Danio rerio: one gene and its partner. The protein of the gene in region 1 purifies or fractionates together with the protein of each later gene. This does not show direct contact. Links are inferred from orthologs where the notes say so. Each region holds a gene or a part of one and is shown on either strand. Other genes may lie near its edges.

The links. Proteins that work in one complex are often made in the same cells at the same time.
Region 2: the proteins of dr1 (region 1) and kat2b purify together in Homo sapiens (affinity purification with mass spectrometry; 3 studies listed by BioGRID and IntAct, with this or other methods). This does not show direct contact. The link is inferred for Danio rerio from reciprocal best matches to the Homo sapiens genes DR1 and KAT2B.

Annotation. Positions count from the first base shown.
Region 1 is NC_133181.1:26,454,867-26,458,625, forward strand, and holds the start of dr1 (protein Dr1), read right to left. Parts: upstream 2,350-3,759; 5' UTR 1,845-2,349; coding exon 1,625-1,844; intron 1-1,624. UniProt on the Homo sapiens protein: The association of the DR1/DRAP1 heterodimer with TBP results in a functional repression of both activated and basal transcription of class II genes.
Region 2 is NC_133194.1:23,130,927-23,134,585, forward strand, and holds part of kat2b (histone acetyltransferase KAT2B), read left to right. Parts: intron 1-317; coding exon 318-404; intron 405-777; coding exon 778-959; intron 960-3,659. UniProt on the Homo sapiens protein: Functions as a histone acetyltransferase (HAT) to promote transcriptional activation. Has significant histone acetyltransferase activity with core histones (H3 and H4), and also with nucleosome core particles.

The DNA.
Region 1 (3,759 bases):
AACTGCATTGTTCCTTTGCACAACATAGATTGTTTATCCATTAGCACAAACAGCTGCTCGAGTTTGTTTGTATGTTCACATGCTAAAGGGTCTTGCTCATTAGGTTGGATGTTTGTCATCTTTGACAATAAAATTTAGTTTTACAATTTACTATTCTGGTTTTTGGAACTTTCTCCCAGAGGCTATAATCTGCACTTTAACTAAAGAAATAGACATTTTATTTTGATAATTATTGATACTGACTCTGATGTAAACAATTTTAGCATATTAACATGGCCATACTGCCCAGTCCTACATAAACCACCGCATCATTTATTTTCAAGCGTCTCAAGACCACTTGCAGACCAATTGAACAAGGAATAATTTACAATAGACCATTGAATTTAGGCATAGAATGATAACCATTTTCAAGGTATACCGCGGTATGAAAAAGTCAAGGTTTTAAAACCATCAAATTTTTTTGCAATACTGTTGCTAAGGTGATGTGTAAGATTGTTTATTTACATTTTTCTTGCTTTTTTTTGGACAACAGTTTGTCCAGCATAAAAGATATCCAAAGATGCTGTTTTTAACTGTAAAAAAAAAATGTGTTTTTGAAATAAGTGAAGACAGCAGAAGTCAATGATTCATTTGAATTATTTAGTCTGAAGTTTACTGTTCCAGAATATTTTAAATGTTTCATAACATAAAATATATTGTGTTCAAAAGGGATTTTTTTGTTTTGTTTTACCCCGACATTTAAAAAGAATATATTATTTTAGAGCAGTAATCACAATACCATGAAACCGTGCAATTTTTATCAAAGGTTATCATATAGTCAGAATCTTACACCAGCCCATGCGTATTTAATTATTCAAAAATAATGCACAACCAAGGTGGTGATGCGGCCACAATGCAAAGCAGATGTGCATTATTTTCTAATTTAATGAATAAACCAGAGTAAATTATTCCACTTGTACTATGGTTTCCAGACTGAAAGACGTAATTTAAGACATTTGAGAGGTTTTTTCCATTAAACAGCTCTTGTGTGTTAAACTACTAAAGTCTTGTGCATACCAACTCATTATTTGATTTGTGACACTTGCAGCTTGTGAAACCATTCAGCATAATGATATTGAACTATAATGCTGTCTGGAACTGCTTTAGCCGTTTAAATAATTGAAAACTGAAAATAATTGCACACCTTAGAATGTTCATCAGACAATCAGAATCAAAAGTAGTATATAGAGGTAAAGTTGGTTTTATATTTGGATATATTTAGACATTCTCCTTAATAATAACATTTCAGAAAAGTATTCTTTGCTAATTCTAAATAGGGAAATCATATTAGCAGCAAATGACTATTAAAGTACAACACTGTTCACACAGATAGTGTAAATGTTGTTTAGAAGTCATATTTCCATGCTAATTCCGATTGAATATTCAAGGCAGGATGGTAAACAATATAGGGACTGCTAAATGAACGAATGTGCGAATATAAAACTAACTTTACCTCTACAAGTAACGTTACTATAACTCTGAATAAACGATTCGCCTTATTACAAAAGCTTTGAATGAATTAAGTGCAGAAACGAACAATTTGTTGTTGGAATCTCACAGCATTGAACAGAAGTGACATACTGACCGTTTATAACATGTTCCGGGGATATAGTTTTCTTTTCTGATTTATTGCAGATCTCGTTGGCCTCTGATGAGACGAGGTGAATGAACTCTGTGCAGCAGTTTACCACCAGCTCTCTGGCATCGTTCGCTACCCGCACATTGGGAAGCGTTTCTTTGATCATTTTATTGATCGCCGCCCTCGGGATGGTCAGATCATCGTCGTTCCCCGAAGAAGATGCCATGAGGGATGAGCAGCCGAGACGCTTCTGTGTTTGAAGGAGTCAAACCAGGAGAGGAGGCTCAACGGCTTTGTTGATGATAAAACACCGACAGCAGCGGCGGCTTTGTGTGGAGACTCAGATGGTGCGGTCGGTTTTCTCGGAGCAGATCACGAAAGGCTGGGAATACACACACGTGAACACATTTGAAAATCCGAAGACGTCGGAAAGACTGTGAGTGTTTGGCACAAGGAAGGGAGGAGGATGAGAGTCGGTACCTTTCGGTTTGATCAGTTTACGCTGACTCTCCACATCCACACATCAGTGCTGCTGCTTTTGCTGTGCACGTTTATAATCATGATTCAACTCCAAACATTCATTCTCGAGCCGCCTGGGTAACTGAACAGATCCCGCGCTTATTAGACTAAAGCACGGGGAGGAATGTTTTAAGCACCCGAATCTATTAATTCATTACTTCACCCGCTCGGTTAGCGATCAACGAAACGAACCCCACAATGCAACACTCCCGGATATCCGGTAATTCTTCTGCTTGTTATTGTTTCGTGGTGTTGCTCGGCATTGCCGCCTACTGTACAAAAATGATGTTACAATTTATGCGCATGTTTTCTGCTAAAAAAACAAACTGGCAAAAACTTTTTTTATTGTTTCAAGCTGAACATACAAATAAAATGGAACATATTTACAATATTCCATACTGTCATCTCAAGGTTGAGTAATAAAATAGGCAAACACAATATACATCGAAAGAATAAAACGACCAGTTTTTGTTAAATGAATTGCAATAAAATAATAAAGGAGCTTAGAAAATTAAATTAGCTTATAAAAATCCCAAAAATAGATGAGGTTATGGGCTTTTTTATCATTCAACAATTTTACAGATTCGCACAAAAGTTTTACCTCATTCACTGATTAAAGGAGTAGATTTGAACCATCTGCATTTGTGAATAAAGATTTTTCCCAAGCATAATAGAACAATGACAGCAAAATGAAAATTCTTTGTTTTCAAAGATACCAAACTTAACTGTTTTTGAGGGGAGGGAAATATACAGTCCTGGGGCCTCATGTATCAACGCTGCGTATGCACAAAAACTTTGCATACGCCAGGTTTCACGCTCAGAATCGCTCACGTTTGGATTTACTAACGATGAACTGAACGTGGGAATGTGCGCGGCTCCACGCCAGCTTTATGGCTGGCGTACGCACATTTTTTGTGCGTGTCTGTTTTATTTCCATTGGCGACTCGACAGTTGTGTTAAATTGCACTCTACAAAGTGTCTTTGAGCCTTGCAATGGCAGCTGTAGGAGACGGGTTCATCTAGCAGGTATATAAGATTTCCATAACATACAGTTGACCAGCCAAACATTAAAGAGCAATTTGCAGCGGTCGCCTGTTTTCCCATTGTAGTGGGGGCGATCTACTTCACGCACATTGCTATAAAGGCACCAACTGAAGATGAATTTGCACGCATGAATCAGAAACATTTCCATTCAATAAATGTGCAAATAAAATATGATGCACATACTTATTAATGATTCCTACTTGTCTTTCTCGTGATAAATAGTAGGCAAAATCTGATATGCTGGAAAAAAAAGAAGAATGAGTTCATCAGACGCTGGATTCGAACCGAGTTCATGCTCGAACGTGTCAAAACATGCTACCTTGCGTTTTACGATCTGTGCCACTGAGACTATTAAGGGTATTACAACATTTTACACCTATAAATCACACTATTTCTCTTTTAACTCCACAGTGCGTTGTTCAGATCCAACTGTGTTAACCGCATCAGCTAAACTCTCCCCACTCTATTTTTTCTTTTGTTGTTAATTCCGGAGGACAAACTTGCAAATAACACAGTTTTCCTCCGGTCTACCTCCGAAAGCAGCACCTTCAATTCACATTCTGTTCAAAGATTCTCTT
Region 2 (3,659 bases), on another chromosome or scaffold:
GTCTGGCACTAAAAACCATGCCTCGTTTAAAGTCACTTTATTCATCTTTTTTCCCCATTCTGATGCTCAGTTTGAACGGCAGTAGATCAAATCGTCTTGACCATGTCTACATGCCTAAATGCACTGAGTTGCTGCCATGTGATTGGCTGATTAGAAATTTGCGTTAACGAGCAGTTAGACAGGTGTACCTAATAAAGTGGCCGTTGAGTGTATATTAATGTAATTTTACATTCCGTATATGTTCTGTGTATATTATTACAACTGTATATATTCGGTTTGCAACTGTTTGTCCAGCTTATTTGTTTAAACTGTTACAGCTGCTAAGGAAATGCATCCTGCAGATGGGAAGGCCAGTGGTGGAGGCTCTGGAAAGCCCGCCTTTTGAAAAACCAAGCATCGAGCAGGTAACTTCTCAACTGTAAATAGCAAGAATATTTTTTCATCATTACGAATGAATCATTGTCTTAATCTTTACATTTAATAAGCTGCATGTGTTTGGTGACATACTTAACTAACAAGTCAACCTCTTCATCATGATCATGTGCGAACATCAGTGATATTGGTGTCAGGAATGAGCATTTATGATATAACTTTTTATAACTTTTCTTCTAAAACAGACTTTGGTGAAAACCACAAGCTCCAGCTTTCTTGCTTAATTTGTAGGCATTGTACTATAATTCTGATGTACAAATATGCTAAACACCCAAAGACACATTCCTAAAATCCTTGCTGTTGGAGACACATTTATGTTTTTTTCCTGTGTTGTTTTTGTTGTAGGGTGTGAACAACTTTGTGCAGTACAAGTTTAGCCACCTTCCGTCTAAGGAAAGACAAACCATTGTGGAGCTCGCAAAGATGTTCCTCAACCAGATCAACTACTGGCAGCTAGAAACGCCCTCACAAAAAAGACAAAGAGCACCAGATGATGATGTAGCTGGTTATAAAGTCAATTACACCAGGTGATTGCTAGTTTTTTTTACTTTACACTAAGGATTAGTTCACCCAAATATGAAAATTCAGTTATTAAGGGCTCATAATCATGTCATTCCAATCCCCTGAGACTTTTATGCAACATTTAGAACACAAATTAGGATATTTTAGATGAAATTTGAGAGCTCTCTCATCCTCCCTTAGCCATGTTTCCATCTAAAGATGGAAATTAAATTTATGTGCAAAACTGGAATATTGCATAAAAGTTTTGTGAATGAAGCAGCATTTAAACCCAAAGAGTCAAAGAGAACAAAATCGTTAACTGGTGCCGAATATCAAAAATAAAAACAGAATTTGCTGTGGTAGGATGAGCTGCATTAATCTTATTCATTTAATAAATTATTTGAAGACAATGCCGACATGCAATAAGCGCGTGGTGGCGTTTGAAGATGTGAGATGCGGAGCACAGTCACTTTTGACAGTTCTGGACGTAATAAATAATATATTACCACTAATACTGAAATAGTTACAGCATTTTAGAATGACCAAAACAACATTTCAGATATTTTACAATGTGGTCAGCCTGCTGGTTTGTCCATTCACTTACATGTTATTATAATCACACGCTCTCCTCTAAAAAAAATCACATGACTTTTTAATGCGCATCCTGAAATTAGTTTGGTAAAAGTGTTTCTATCGTAGTTTATAGCAGTTGTTTCTTATTGAATAAAAAGTTAATATTCAAAGTTTATGTGCATCTTGGCATTTCTATCAACCATTTTTTATGCGCACATCTAAAATGCACATAATAATATTAGGTGGATGAAAAACATAGCTATTGACAGCACTGCACTAAAAAGTCCAAAAAAGGATCTAAATCATTCCATGTGACTTCAGTAGTTCAACTTTAATCTACAAGGCTCCAACATCGCTTTTGTGTATGAAACCACATTCACTTTTGGCAGTATGTAGACATGGGGCAGAATAAGTTTCTGACGGTGTCAACCTTGGATAAAAATATCACAGTGTTGTGATTACTGCTGTAAAATAAGTTATTTTTAAATGTCTTGGTAAAAAAAAAAAAAAAAATTCCCCCCTAATGAACACAATATATTTTATTTTAGGAAACATTTAAAATTTTTTGGAACAGTAAACATCTCAGACTAAAGAATAATAAAAAAAGGCATTTGCTATCTTCATTAGTTTCAAAACCAGGTTTCTTTACAAACCTTAAAAAACTCTTAAACATACATTTGAAGTGGTTAAACAGAAAGATTTTGCGGGTTTTAAAACTTTGAATTTTTCAAATCGCGGTAAACCTTGAAACCGGTTTTCGTCCCATGACTGACAGTGTGACATATTGCCAATAGAGTCAGCAGTGAAACTTCCTTGCATTGTATTGCCCATATGAAAGAGATAATTCATCCAAAAATGCGTATTTAGTCACTATTTACTCAATGGGTTCCAATACTTTATGAGATTATTTATTCTCTTGAACACAAAAGAAGATACTTTGATCAAAGCTTAAAACCTGTAATCATTGACTTCCATACTAGGAAAAACAAATACTATGGAAGCCAATGATTACATTTCCAACATAGATCTTCTTTTGTGTTCAACAGAAGAAAGAAGCTCAAACAGGTTTGAAACAAGTAAAGTGTGAATAAATATTGACAGAATTTTTTTTTTTATGTGTCAACTATCACTTTAAATTAGTACCCTTATTTGGGTAATTTTTATTGTATTATTTTCGATACAAAAATATTCTTATAGCTTTTGTATGATTTCAGTTGAATCCCTAAAGTCACATGAAATGTTTTGACAATGCCTTGGGTCCTTTTTAGAACATTTCAGCATTGTTGTTTTCTGTAGATGAAGAAGCTCTTGGATATTATCTAAAATAATCTTCGTTTGTGTTTCGAGGATGAATGCAGGTTCATAAAAAAAGTTTTTCTTACTTAGAATTTTTTACTTGTTTCAAGTCCAAATATTTAAAAAATTGTGAATAAAAAAATTCTAATTTATTTTTTTTAACTTAGTTTTACTTTTAAACAAGCTAAATTATCCAACAAACAAAATAATCTTCAGTTTATTTTTAATTAAATTATATATCTTTTTAAAGTGATCCGCTTATAACGTTATAAAGATTTTGACCAACAATTATCACAATTTAGAAGTATTGGTCTATTTTCTACAACACACAAACAACATTTCTAGTAAGTGTTTTGTGTTGGAGAGATTTACTCCCTTTGGCTTTAACAAAATCATCTTTAATAAATCATCTTTTCGAAAGGTATCCAATTGTTCAACAGATGGTGCACTAACGAAACTGTTTAAATCAAACTCAGCCATACTAATATTATGCTCTAAAACTCCACTCAATCACTAATCTTCATTCACTCAAAACTCAAAATTGATCCGCTGTCAAACACACATCGTCTCACTTCATCCCATAAAGAGATAAATTTAAATAATCTCACCGCTGCCACCAATTAAATGTTACGTGTTTTATGATGTTAAAGTGGGATGCTGTAATATTTAAGTGACACAGGTGTAATGTGTGCGACAGATCAAGAATGAGGCAAGGTTCAGTTACTCTTATTTAAGCTTTTTACTTAATAATTGAAACATGTAACAATAATAAATGGGGAAAAAAAACATTTATAATTATTATCTTTAAACAAAAACAATGAGTGTAAGCCAAATCAAAGAAATTAACAAAACAAAGC